Linked DNA regions of Pelodiscus sinensis. The main gene of each other region encodes a partner of the protein of the gene in region 2 in a complex. Links are inferred from orthologs where the notes say so. Each region holds a gene or a part of one and is shown on either strand. Other genes may lie near its edges.

Region 1 (7,092 bases), on a different chromosome or scaffold from region 2:
CTAATCTAAGACTTGTTTTCTGACTTCTCTTCAGACATTAATTGATTGACCCTCACACCCAGCCCTATAAGGCAAGTAGACAAGTGTTCCCCCACTTTCCAAATGGGAAAAGGAAACAGAAAGTGCCAAGGCCTCAGAACGAGTTAGTGTCAGAGAAGCGTTCTGATCGCTCCAACAACTATTCTGCACAGGAATTGGCATATCAGATCACAGCAAGAGTCAACATAGCGTCATCTCCTCCTTATCTGCACAGGAAGGCGTGAGCCATTCCAAAACGGACAACTTACTTTTTAACCCAAGCAGTTTGTGTTTAGCGTATGCCCCTTCCTCCAGGCAGCAAGATACAAAGCACAAGTGGACACAAACTATTGTAATTAAAAAAAATTGGGTCTCTAAGCTCTTGCGTGTCAGTAGGAGGCAGCTTTTGTTAGACTCTGAAAATGAGCCAAGAACAATTAGCAGCATCCTTCAGAGAAGCGTCTGCGCAACAGGATTTAAGCAGGTCTGTTGAGGGGGGCAAACCCTTTGGAGCAGTAACTATGTGTTTTCAGTCATTAGTACAGCCCCAAATCATGGATATTACAGGCTAGATCCAGCACTTGGTAAAGTCAGTGGTACTGATCCCGGGGGGTGCAGGATAAGGTCTTATAAATTGAGATCAAATGTATTCTACGGGCCACTCATTTGGTTAAAGAAAGTCAGGAGAGGAGTCTCGTCTGGGCGATCGGGGACACTTACCTTTTTTACGCCTCCGAGGGTAAGGTCTCGGGAACGGATGGAGGGGAGGCGCCCAGGCGTAATTGGGGTGGCAGGTCTCCTCCCTATCAGCCCTCGTGCCCCAGGGAGTCCAGGCCGGAGGCTGCCTGGGTTGCCAGCATCGTTGCCTGAACTCCCCTCCGACATCCTTTCCAGTTACCTGGGCAGGAGAGAGATCAGTGGGAATGTGGCTGAAACGTCCAGCAGCCCAAAGAGCTGATCCCTAGAAACCCATTTCCTGAGCAGCTTTCATGATTCCTTCACTCTCCAGACACCGCGCAGTCAGGAGGAGGAACTGGTTGCAATTGAGAGGAAAGGGAATAAGGATAACTGCTAGGACAATGCATTAACAAGCACAAGAGACAAAGGGGACCCAAGATACCCAGGGGATGACTAATTGAAGGGCCCGGGTGGGGAGGGGCAGGGAAGGTGTATTGATCACAGGACAGCCTGAGCTCTGTAGGTGATCTGCCTTTTGCTGACTTGGGGACCAGCTCCCCCCACAGGGGATCAGAAATAAGGGCCCACACACCCAGGCCTCACTGTATCAGGGCTCAGAGCCACCTCCCACCTGGAACCTTTGCTGTACTGGGACGGAGACCCCCCCACCCTGTCACATAGGCTTGGACACCTTTCCTTCTCCCCACAGGCAGGGGCCCAGTGACCTTCCAGAGCCCATGCTAAAAGGGAACACGCCTTCCCCGCAGCAGAAGGAGCTGCCCCTGTCTTCAGACCCCCCACTATAGGAGTTCAACACCCACCAGCAAAGGGCTCAGACCCATCCCTTTCAAGGCTTACCCCATCTCTACGCACCGTCCCATAGGGAGCTCTGACCCCACCCATCGTCAGGCTCAAACCCCCCTCCCAGCCTCCAAACCCACTCCCATAGGAAGCTCAATCCCTCCTCCAGGTGAACACCCCCCATGGGCTCAGTGCCCCCCAGTCCAGATCCCCCCAGGGCTCAGCCTCCCAGCTCAGGCTGTCCTTTTTCTGTAGGTGATCTGCCTTTTGCTGGCTTGGGGATCAGCTCCCCCCCAGGGCTCAGCCCCCCCTCTCCAGTCCAGACCCCACCAGGACTCAGCCCCTCTCCCCGGGCTCAGCCCCCCCAGTCCAGATCCCCCCACAGGGCTCATCCTCCCCCCATCCAGACACCCTCCCCCCCGGGGCTCAGACCCCCCCACATCCCCCAGTCCAGTTTCCCTCCCCCCCGGGCTCAGCCCCCCCCCCCCAGTCCAGACTCCCTCCCCCCCCGGGCTCAGCCCCCCCCCCAGTCCAGACTCCCCCCCCCCCGGGCTCAGCCCCCCCCCCAGTCCAGACTCCCCCCCCCCCCGGGCTCAGCCCCCCCCCAGTCCAGACTCCCCCCCCCGGGGCTCAGTCCCCCCCCCCGGGCTCAGCCCCTCCCCCCCAGTCCAGACTCCCTCCCCCCCCGGGCTCAGCCCCGCCACCCAGTCCAGACTCCCTCCCCCCCCGGGCTCAGCCCCCCCCCCAGTCCAGACTCCCCCCCCCCCCGGGCTCAGCCCCCCCCCCCAGTCCAGACTCCCTCCCCCCCCGGGCTCAGCCCCGCCACCCAGTCCAGACTCCCCCCCCCCCCCCCGGGCTCAGCCCCTCCCCCCAGTCCAGACTCCCCCCCCCCCCGGGCTCAGCCCCTCCCCCCCAGTCCAGACTCCCCCCCCCCCCCCGGGCTCAGCCCCTCCCCCCCAGTCCAGACTCCCCCCCCCCCCGGGCTCAGCCCCTCCCCCCCAGTCCAGACTCCCCCCCCCCGGGCTCAGCCCCCCCCCGGTCCAGACTCCCCCCCGGTCCAGACTCCCCCCCCCCGGGCTCAGCCCCCCCCCAGTCCAGACTCCCTCCCCCCCCCGGGCTCAGCCCCGCCACCCAGTCCAGACTCCCCCCCCCCCGGGCTCAGCCCCTCCCCCCCAGTCCAGACTCCCTCCCCCCCCGGGCTCAGACCCCCCCACATCCCCCAGTCCAGACTCCCTCCCCCCCGGGCTCAGCCCCCCCCCCAGTCCAGACTCCCTCCCCCCCCGGGCTCAGCCCCTCCCCCCCAGTCCAGACTCCCTCCCCCCCCCCCCGGGCTCAGCCCCGCCACCCAGTCCAGACTCCCCCCCCCCCCCCGGGCTCAGCCCTCCCCCCAGTCCAGACTCCCCCCCCCCCGGGCTCAGCCCCCCCTCCAGTCCAGATTCCCGCCCCCCCCCCCGTCTCCTACCCCGGCCTCGCCCAGCAGCAGCCAGGAGGACGCTTGGTCCCAGCCTGGACCTTTCAACTCCAGCGCGCACGCGTACGCCGGCCCGCCGCCATTTTTGTGCGGGGCAGCGAAAACCGGAAGGACTCCGGCCGCGCCGCCATCTTTGTGCAGGGCGCACTCGCGCCAGGGGGGGGAAAACCGAGCGGGCCGCCATCTTGGTGAGGGGCGACCTCTGGCCTGGAGGAAGGGGCCGCCATCTTGGTGAGGGGCGCTCCCCCTCCCCCACTCCCTGGGGACAAGGGAGCTGCTAGTGGGCAGGGAGGGAAACTGAGGCAGGGTGCTAAAGGCAATGAGTGGGCCCATCCAGCAGAGGACCCAGGAGTCCAGACTCTTCTGTCCTGCATAAGTGGTGCTGCTGGCCCCACCGTCCCCCTGCCAGCCCCCCGGAGCACCCTAGGCCATGAGGATGCCCCAGGGCGGGGGAAGCTGCTAGATGCTGACCCTGTGTTGCGAGTTGGGTTTTAAGCAGAGTCCGGCCAGGGCCTGGATTGCAGAGCCTTTCTTTCCCTTTGGGGGCTTCGTCAGCTGGGAGCAAACTCTCACGTTGACCTGCGAGCCCCGGATGCCCCTCTTCTCATTCTTTGCAAGGGTGTTGCCAACTCTTGTGGTTTTTATTGCCAGGCATGAGCAACGCTCCCCCTTGTTTGCCACCCACGTGCAGGATAAATGTTGTTACGTGCACCCAAGCATGTATGGATGTGCACCACCAGTAGACACGCACCCTGCCAGCTGTGGGAGTAACCACACTAGGGCTGCATCTAGACTGGCATGATTTTGCGCAAATACTTTTAACGGAAAAGTTTTTCCATTAAAAGTATTTGCGCAAGAGAGCATCTATACTGGCATGTGCCTTTGCGCAAAAGATTTGCTTTTGAGCAAAAGCATCCATGCCAGCGTAGAAGCTCTCTTGTGCAAGAAAGCTCCGATGGCCATTTTAGCCATTGGGCTTTCTTGCGCAAGAAATTAACTTGGCTGTCTACACTAGCCCTCTTGCACAAAAACAGTTGCGCAAGAGGGCTTATCCCTGAGCGGGAGCGTCGGAGTATTTGCGCAAGAACCACTGATTTTGTACAGTACAAAGTCAGTGTTCTTGCGCAAATACTCGCGGCCGGTGTAGGCAGGTGGCAAGATTTTGCGCAAAAGCAGGTGCTTTTGCGCAAAATCTTGCCAGTCTAGACACAGCTTCGGTGTGTGGTTATTCTCCGCTTCAGAGATCCTAGGTTCAAATCCGCCTTGTGGCGGTTACATGGGCTATCTGCTAATCAGCTGGGCAGCATTTGAATCTTTCCTAGGTGGCTGCACAGCTTAAAGGGAAGATTGGTCTTGAGCTATTTATTGTTTTTCTTACACACCCCAGCTTCTGGAGGATACTAGTTACATAAGATTTCAATAATTGATTTTAAGTTTAAAGAAAAAATACCTTTCAAGCTCTCATTTTGGAGAAAAGCTTGACAACGTAACCTGAATGCAACCCAAAAACTCAGAAACCAAAACATCTTAAAAAAAAAATCTCCTGATTTTCTCCAGGGACTGGCTCGTGATTTTCAAATGCTTGGGGTTGCAAATACTTGCAATTTTACACCCATACAGCTCTATGCTCAGACACAATTTTGCAAACCCACACGCTTCACAGATTACCTGGTTTCCAGGAGGCAGCCAAGCAGCTATCTGTTGAAGTCTGGTACATCGAATTATTTGACCCCATAAAACTGGGCCTGTAATTATTTGCTGGAGAAAAGCCCAAAGTTGCTTTTCAAAATCAAGCCCCAGCTTTGTAATTATCCTTGACGCCTCTCTGTGGCTGCTGCCTGCTAGGAAACAGCCTCAGGTATCACCTCACTAGTGCTAAGTGAAAATAGAAAAATCTCTAGTGTTTCGGGGCTTTAATTTAACACCTCTGCAGGAGAGGAGGGAGGGAGGCAATGCAAGAGGGCTCTCCAGGCCTAAGGGAAAATCCCACTAGCTGAAATTGTTGCTATAGTATTCATTTTCACACATAAAGAGAAAGGTGTTTTTTAAACCAGCCTCTCAGAAAAGCAGAGCTCCTTCATTACATCTGTTGTGCCATAAAACTGCAGTAATGGAGCATGTTAACACTTGAGGCGAAGAGCGGAAAGTTGAAGATGGATGCTGATTTTTCCTGCAGTTTCCACACCATCCCTGCTAGGGTTGCCAGACGGTTTCAACAAAAATACCGGACACTCTTGACATTACATCACAGTCTACATTGCATCTTATTTAGAAAACACCGGGCAGTTCTATTTTCTCATTTCTATTTTCTCAATTTGTTTCCCAAACAGAAAGCTCAAATACTGGGCTGTCCGGTTCAAAACCAGACACCTGGCAACCCAAGTCTCTGCAGCCACAGTGAACCCCTGAACATGCCCTTAACAGGAGGGAAGGGAGAACTCATTTGGCCCAAATTGGAGCCCCTGTTCTAGCTTTAGAAAAGGATTTCTGAGGCTCTGCTTATTAGCTGTGGCCAAACACAAATTGGGGACTGTTGTATGATTTCCTTTGTTAAATCTTGTTTTGTAAGAGGCCTAGAAGCCCGTCGAGAATTATTTTCAAATAAGAATCTGTATTATCTGCGTAGCACAAGCTTATAATTAGAAATAGATGCCTGGAGTTACACTTTGATTTCACGGTTCCTTGTGTAAATCTGGAGTAACTCCACTGAAACAAATAGAGAGATCCTGTGTTGACACCGGTGTAAAGGAGAACAGCGTAGCTCATCCTTTTCAGTAAGAGTTTTCTTGGAAAATCAAGGTATGATAAGACCTGCTCAATGGAGCTTTATGCTGATTTGCATCAGCTGAAAATCTGCCCACGGGTGCCTAGTTAGAGAAGGGACGTTTTGCAAAACTCTCAAAAGTTTCACAGAGCCACACCTACAAAAAAGCTTCCCAGAGCAGTGTTTCCCAAATGCATTTTCCATGGAACCCTTTTCAGCTTAAAAGAATTTCAAGGAACCCCTAGGGTTGCCAGGGTAAAATTTGTCAAGCAAAAAAAAAGACCCACCAGAATTGGTCGAGAAAAAAAAAACTGCAAAATAGACTCCGTCTCTTTAAGAAGGGGCGGGGGAGTGCCTCTTTTTTGCGGAACCCTTACTTTCCCTTCATGGAACCCCAGGGTTCCACGGAGCACCGATTGGGACACACTGTCCTAGAGGTTTGATGGGCTCTCATACCCCTCTAATTAGCCTTCATTTCCATTATGCCCTGTTGGTGGGGGACAGAACACAGAGAGGAAATGTCAGGTTTACAGAACCATCACATTTGCTCCACAGGTGAATTCTCCCCTGTGCTGCAGGCCAGTCCAAGGTCCGTGAACCACTTTGGGTCTCCTTGGTATGAATGAATGAAACTAAAAGGGCAGCAGGTTTAAAATAAAATTAAAGGAAGTTCTTCTTCACACAGTGCATAGTCAATCTGTGGAACTCCTTGCCTGAGGAGGCGGTGAAGGCTAGGACTATCACAGGGTTTAAAAGAGAACTAGATACGTTCATGGAGGTTAAGTCCATTCATGGCTATTAGCCAGTATGGGTAAGGAATGGTGTCCCTGGCTTCTGTTTGTCAGAGGGTGGAGATGGATGGCAGGAGAGAGATCGCTTGATCATTTCCTGTTTGGTTCACTCCCTCTGGGGTATCTGCCATTGGCCACTGTGGGCAGACAGGATACTGGGCTGGATGGACCTTTGGTCTGACCCAGTCTGGCCGTTCTTATGTTCTTATGTAATGAATGGGTCACTTTCACCCATCCAGAAGCGTGATAGAAATGTAGCCGTGTTAGTCTGGTGTAGCTGAAACAAAACACAGGACTATGTAGCACTTTAAAGACTAACAAGATGGTTTATTAGGTGAGGAGCTTCCGTGGGCCAGACCCACTTCCTCAGATCAAATAGTGGAAGAAATTGTCACAACTAAATATACCAAAGGGATACAATTAAAAAAATGAACACATATGAAAAGGACAAATCAAATTTCAGAACAGAAGGGGGATGGGGGATCCTACCCATTACACGGATAGCTTCCCCAATTATCACCTCTAATATCATTAGCTCACAGACATTTACCTCCCCCCCCCCCATCCCA
Region 2 (7,157 bases):
CAGGGTTAGCCTGATAACCAGTGTTTACACTCTGGAATCTGTATAGCACTTGTCATTTGGTTAAATGTTTTTATGCCCACTGTACAGGTGGGGAAGCTGAGGCATAGCAAGGGGGTCTCTCTAGGTCATACAGTGAGCCAGTGGTAGAGCAGAGAATGGACTCCCAGGTCTCTCTACCATGCTGTCTCTACACATGTCTACTGAGAGAAAAAGAGAGTAAAACACACAGCAAAATAAATCATAGTCAAATGGTCTGAGCACAGGCCTGGGAGCTAATTCTGTTCCCAGCTTTGACAGTGATTCATTGTTTGAGCTTTGGCAGTGCCTGCTTCGCCTCGTGCCTCAGTTTCCACATGCTATAGCATGTGGATCACAATACTGATCTCTCCTGAAAATGCTTGGAAGCATCAGTGTTGTGTACTGCCTCTTGAAGATGCTCCATCCGGACCTGACCTAAAGCCCCCTGAAGTCAATGGAAAGATTCCCATTTACTTCAGTGGACTTTAGACCAGGCCCTCCATCCAGCTGGAAGCCATCCAATCCCCTTTCGTTGTGTACAGAACTTGAACACTGTGGTAGCATGAAGCATCAGCTCAGCAGCCTCAAAACTTGCCAGATAGATAAGGCACTGCAGCAAAAGATTTCCGCTCCCTTTTCAAGCTGTCTCCACACCCCACTGGCTCACCCTCCATAGTTTCCGTCAGCCTGTCTGCAACCTTCTGCACCACAGCGCTCATGGTCATTTTGCCGTTCAGCAGCAGCTCCTCCACAATCAATTCACCCATGTCGCTGTAGAGGGTCTTGGCAGTATAGATGTAACGTGGATACCGCAGGATCCTCAGCACCCGACTGCACAGAGCTTCGTACTCCACAATGCCTCGCTTCTGCAGCTGGTAGGTCACCAGGTTATGTTGAATGAGGACACAGAGAGCTTTCTTAACCTGCACATGCCAGAGAAAGGAATGAGAGCCGTACTTGGGGGAAAATCAACCCTCATGCTTGAGGTCTGATCACCTCAAGGATCAGGAAGGGAATGCCCTCCCCTCCTATATTTAGGTGCTTTAGCTCCATCCATAGTCTCAGGAAGGGCCATTAATTTCCCAATTAGCACTGATCATTAACAATGAAAGATAAAGCTACTGAGCATTCACCAGATCATCTTTATTTGGAAGAGAGCAGGGTGATGTTTGACATTCCTCAGGGGCTAACAGAATTAAGAGAAGAAGAAACCTGGGAGATCTTGTCCTAATCAAGGCAGGGCCTGGGAATCTCAACTGTAGTCCTGACTCACAGTGCAACTTTAAGCAAGTAAGCTTCACTTCCTTATTCTTTACAAGCTGCACTAACTTCATCTCTTGTCCTCTCCACACTCTGTTACACTAAATTAGACCACCAGCCTTCCCTTCTGGGGAGAGGTAAGAGCTCAGAACCAATCTGTTAAAGCCAATGACAAAACTCCCATGGATTGCAATTGGTACTGTTAAAGAAACAGATTTGGTTTTAAGGAGACATGTTCAAATTCTAATTTGCCTTTTGCAAACGCATTTGGAATAACAGAATCCTTCAGGAGGCCTAGAAATGGTGACAGACAAGTTTTAATGAGCAAATAATAGTTCAGTCAGCTCTGCTGAGTAGCATTTATCTAGCATCTGTGATCCAAGGGAGGATAACTCCTAGCGGATTCTAGACATACCTGATCTAGCAACATCCCTGTGTCCTTGGCAATCACTCTCAGTGGCTGGCTGCCTGTTTTGATAAGGTGAGTCCCTATCTTTTCCACGATCTCGCCAAAATGTTCTTGCAGCAGGAGGGAACAGAGTTTAATTTCTGCTTGAGTCATCTTGCCGTCAAATTAAAATACTAGAAGGATATGGGGGAAAAACATTTATTAAAATTCTTATCAGGTGAGACAGGAGAGTGCAGGAAATGTGCTGGTGGGACGCAAAGATTTTCACCTCTCAAGTCGCCTGTTTGATTTGGTCTATCAGCAGAGACCAAAAGTTGTTCCCAATTCAGGCTTGAGAGGAATGCAGTGGGTTCGAGGCTCAGCTCAAATAAAAAATGCCTTCACAGCCAGTCCGCTTTAAGTCAAACCGGGCAGGCACGCAAGCACCCCCAGCAAGCACCGAATGAGCCACGGTGACGAAACACAGACTATCCCCCGAGATGATCCCGGCAGGGCAGAGTGGGGGAAACGTGTCACACGCTTCCCTAGGGCTGCGCCAGTTCCGCAGGGAATCGGGCTCGCCAGTGGGGTGGCCGGGTGTTGAACTGGACAGTCCAGGATTTGAGCCTTCTGTGGGGGAACCCAATGGAGACAATAGAACGGAGACAAGGGACGGGTCCGGTCTTTGCTACACGAGAGGCCGCGGGCATTGTGACGTCATGGACATTGTGACGTCACGTCCAGGGTTTCTGTGGAAACCACCTGGCAACCCTGCTGGGCCGTTGGGCGTTGATTTTAAAATGGGGCCTGCCCCGTGGGCAGCACTAGGGGAGCTAACGAACCCCTGGGGGGAGGGTAGCACGGGGGGGGGAAGGAGAAAGCGGCGGGGGGGGGGGGTCTAGCGAAGCCAAGGACCGGCGGGCGGGCGCCGAGAGCTCAGCAAACAGCCCTTCGCGGCTCAGCGGTGCGGCCCCATGGCCAGGACAGGGCGCCCCCTCGGCGGCGGGATGCTCGAGCTCCGCTGCCCGACCTTGGACGGTGACAGGGATGAGCCGGCATGGGGCTGGGGGGCAGGCCGCTCCGGCTGCCTTCATGGAGCGGCCTCCACAGTTCCTTGCCCCCCCCGGCCAGGCAGAGCCCCCTCCCCCGTTGCCTCAGGGCTCCCACTCACCTGGGATCTCAAATTGGGGAGGGGAGACGCCTAGGCCCCTGCGGCAACCATAGCAACCCCTTCCACTTCCGGCTCAACGCGGGTTACTTCCGGTCGCCTGCCATGGCTGCGATCCGCCCTGGAGGCCGTCAGGGCTACAGCGCCGCTCTACCCGCCCCCCGCCAGGCTCGTTGGTTGCGCATGCGCATCGGCGGAGTTTACGGCGCGACGCTCTATCCTCCCCCTTCCGCCTGGTCTCGCTGGGACTTGGGACACGGAAGAAGCGAGGGGCGCCGCTCTACCCTGCAGTTCTCTCCTTGCTCTGGCGTGGCGGAGGCCTGACTGCTTCCTACCCCGGCCCAGCGGAGCACCAGCGAGTAGGCGGAAGCGGGCGGCTAGAGCGGCCCCCGCCGCTCTATCCGTGCGGGCCCTAGTCGCGGCCCGCGGAGGACTGACGGCAGGCAGGGAGCCGGGGGAGGGGGAGAGAGAAGATGGCGGAGGCCTCGGCAGCGGCCGCCGTGTCCCAGCATCGCTTCTTCTGCCACAGCTGCAAGGGGGAGGTCAGCCCCAAGCTGCCGGTAAGGGGCGGGGCGCGGACCCCTCGTCCCCCGCGGGGGGGGCCCTGCACCCCCCATGGAGGGGGGCCAACCCCGATCCCCCCCCCAGGGGCGCAGGCCGGGGGAGCGTTCAGCCCCTGTCCTCGGGGCAGCGGGGCCAGGCGGGAGAGGCGCCGCCCCCGCCCCTCGCATGAGAAGGGGGGGCTGAAACCCTGTCACCGTGCAGGGGGAGGGGGCTGCACCCCCCCCCCCCATCTGCCCTTCACTAGGGAAGCAGGAAGTGCGAGGCCAGTCCCCAGTGTCCCGGGGGGGGTCAACTCCTCCCCCCCCCAGGTAATCCCTGGCCTGAGGCTTCTTTCCCCCCTCTCTGTCCTGCCCTGGGGGGCACTGGAAGGGGAGGGGGGCACTGGAAGGGGAGGTCTTCAGCCCCCAGTTGTCCTCCAAAGAGGTGACAATGCAAAGGGCTCCCTGCCCCGCTTCAGGCCGAGAGGTGAAACCTCAAGCTTCCCTGGCCACTAAGGTGTGGGGTAGGGATGTTAGATTTTGGTTAATTGACTAGTCGATTGACCTCATGAATTGTTATCGGTTACTCGACTATTCTATGGCCCCGGGGAGTGGGGCCGGCAGCCAGTGCGCTCTGGCCCAACTCCCAAGGAGTCCCCTGCCACGCCGCGCTGCTACCTCTGTATCAGAGGTAGCCATGTGGACTGCCAGGCGGGAGCTGGTCCGCAAGGGGAGCTGGTTTAAAAACCAGCTTCCCTTGTAGCCCCAAACCTTTGATACAGAGGCAGCAGCGTGGGGTGACAGCAGACCCTGTCCAGCAGGTGGGGGAGAGGGGGATCTGAGCTCCTGGACCCAGTGCGAGCTGGAACTGAGCCAGGCTGCTGGCCCCGGCTGCTAAAAAATGTACCTGGGAGGCTGGGGGGGGGAGAAATGCGTGTAGTCTATAGCATTAGTCGATAAGGTTTTGCTTATTGGTTAATCGACTACGCTATTACATCCCCAGCTGGGAGGGCGTATATCCTAATCCTCCCTATGGAGAGAAGGGGAAGAGACACTTGTAGGCACATCAGGCACTTACCCCAGAAAGCAGAAGGCACCTCTCTCCTGATGCTCTAAGAGCCCCTTTGGGAACGTAGGGATGGTTAAACCCTTCTGAGAGTGGAGATAAACCATAGCTCACCCTTCACAGTGGCTCCAGGCCTGCTAGATAGCAAGGGCACCCATTCTCTCTAATGTTGCAGGAAAGCCTCAGGGGAGAGGCTCAGTGGCATAGAATTGTAGAACTGGAAGGGGCCTCAAGAGGTCATCTAGCTCGGTCTACAACATCAAGGGAGGACTCCCAATTCCTACAGTGAGAAGAGCAAATTTCAGTTCCGCAGACCAAGGATAAGTAGAGGCTGAAGCACCGGAGCTCCTCCTCATGCCGTTGGAGAAGAGTTTTCCTTTTGAGTACCCTCTCTGGACATGTGTATCCTAGTAAAATAGTCCTGTATCTCGTTAGAGTTGGTGGTATGTGTGGTGTATTAGATGGACTGTCACAAGCAACCCCGGCACTTATGCAATAGGATGAAGGAGGTGGGTGGACCAATCCAATCTGTGGTCTCCATTTAGATCCAAAATGGTTAGTCAGAGGTTGTCCTTATGTTCCTGATGTTCTAGTTACATCACACACCACAGCTTGGCGACTTCCTGGCTGTGGAGATGTCCTGGCGAAGCAGGAGGCTATTTGAGGAAAGGAACAGATAATGTAGCTTGGCCAGATTAGATCAGACACATAATATCTTTTTTCCTGATATATGGGAACGTGTGGAGATTCTCTGTTGAAAGGGTGCCTCAGTTTCCCCACCTGTAAAATTAGACTATCTACCTACCTCCTGAGAGAGCAGGTGTAGGAAGATTGTAAGGCTTTTAATATTTGTGATGCACTTTAAGATTCTTGGATGAAAGAACTTAATGAAGAGCAAGCTGCTGTAGCAAAACCTCATCAATCTGGATCCTGAAACAGATGCTGTCCTCCAATTCCTGGGTATTTCATAGATGATGGACAGCTTTTAGTTATCCAGACTGATTCAGGGTCATACTGACATTTAGGTAAATGAGATGGTGCTGTACTATTGCTTTTCCCTTCTGCACCATGAAAGGAGGTAAGAGGATGCTTTGGAGATTTTTGTTTTACTTTAAAAATCATTCATACATGACAGGAATGATGAGCCAGAAAATTTCATTAGCTTCCATTACAGGTAGCTCACCCCTCTGCAACTGCATATAGTCCTGTTGAGATTGGTGCTTGTCCATCCGAAATGCAAATTGATCCTTTAGCTCTCTGTTTGCAAACTCACCCTGCATCCCCTCAAGGTAGTAGCCCAGCTTTCTGGTATTTTCTCTTCTCTTTCTCCCTCCCAAATCATGTTCGACTCCCTCTTTATGCCTCTCGCCTCTGTTGCTGACTTAAGCAGTTTTCTCTCCTATGTTACAACTGTCCTTTTGTTATAAAGCAATGCTGCCCTAAATTGCTCACAACTAATTCTCTTCCGTAACTGGGATTCAGGATTTCCTGATGCCATTAGTGAGTTTTTTGGAACAAGAACTCCGGGCCCATGTATGAGATACATTGTTCAAATATTCACAGTATAAACATGTGAGCATTGACTGCCTCTTTTCTTTTGCCCTGTTGTATATTTCTATAAGCATTCCTACCCAGGCCTCTTTATTTCTAAGTCAGAGTCTTCAGTTTTGCTCTGCATGGGCATTAGACATCCTGGACTCTTTATAAGATTAATGGTTTGACTTGGCTTTTATTGTTATAATTAGGAGCACCCAGAACCCTAACTGGGATCAGGGCAGCATTGTGCTAGTCCTCTCCCACTCTGTAGTTGGGAACTGTGTTGTTCTCTTGAACAACTGCTGTCTTCACCCCGCGGGAGATGGTGTGTCACAGCATTCAGGTATTCTGGAGGATGATATGGACTCTAAAAATGTGAGCTATTATTACCCAGACTTTATAAATAATATGTTCAGGATTTATACCTGCCAAACCAATGAATTGTTTCACTTTTTCAACCTCTCCAGTATTGGGGTGACAACCTCTTTATCTTCTGCTGTTCCTGTCGCACACAACCTGATGGGAACCTGCTTGAATTAAGGATCACCCCTCTTTCAGTCAGCTCCTCAAGTTCTGGGGGGAGCAAGAGATATCCCATCATGCTCCAGACAACCAGTAATGTCATGACAAGGCAGGTCAGGGCCTATTTCTGAAGTAAGACTCTCTTATGCTCTTTTGAAAGCCTGTCATTGTGAATCAGCCTGTGTAAACTTTCCTTAAGGAGCGTGAAACTGGGAGGATAACTCTTTAGTTCTAAAGTTGACTTGGGCTCTGACTCGCTTTGTAGCATTGGCCATGTCACTTCCTTGCTTTGTGCCTCAAGTTTCCCCATCTGTAAAATGTGGCAAGCATTGGTTTCATGGGGCAATGGGCTGATGTTTGCAAAGGGCTACATTAGGATTTTATTTCAGATCTCTGAATTGTCCAGTAGAAGTCCACGGACCTGTTTATTTCTAGGGTGAGGTAGCTCAGACAGTGACTTGGACCTGGTCTACACTCAAAACGGGTCAACGTAGCTGCTTCACTCAGGGCTGTAAAAAGTTTCCTGCCCTGAGCACTGTGGTTAGGTTGACCTGAACCCTGGTGTAGTTGCAGCTGGGTCGACAGAAGGATTCTCCTGTCAACTTAGCTGCTGCCATTCTAGAGATGTTACCTGTTTTGATGGAAAACCCATTTCTG

What was found.
Region 1: POLR3C (region 2) and POLR3D share a complex: the UniProt entries of both Homo sapiens proteins name them as parts of the RNA polymerase III complex. The link is inferred for Pelodiscus sinensis from reciprocal best matches to the Homo sapiens genes POLR3C and POLR3D.

The regions. Positions count from the first base shown.
Region 1 is NC_134738.1:11,408,501-11,415,592, forward strand, and holds the start of POLR3D (DNA-directed RNA polymerase III subunit RPC4), read right to left. Parts: upstream 3,096-7,092; 5' UTR 2,960-3,095; intron 917-2,959; 5' UTR 904-916; coding exon 739-903; intron 1-738. UniProt on the Homo sapiens protein: DNA-dependent RNA polymerase catalyzes the transcription of DNA into RNA using the four ribonucleoside triphosphates as substrates.
Region 2 is NC_134734.1:19,515,884-19,523,040, forward strand, and holds the start of POLR3C (DNA-directed RNA polymerase III subunit RPC3), read right to left. Parts: upstream 3,020-7,157; 5' UTR 2,838-3,019; intron 2,486-2,837; exon of another isoform or gene 1,956-2,485; intron 1,861-1,955; 5' UTR 1,841-1,860; coding exon 1,694-1,840; intron 942-1,693; coding exon 686-941; intron 1-685. Other genes in the region: E3 ubiquitin-protein ligase RNF115, read left to right, coding at 3,308-3,394. UniProt on the Homo sapiens protein: DNA-dependent RNA polymerase catalyzes the transcription of DNA into RNA using the four ribonucleoside triphosphates as substrates.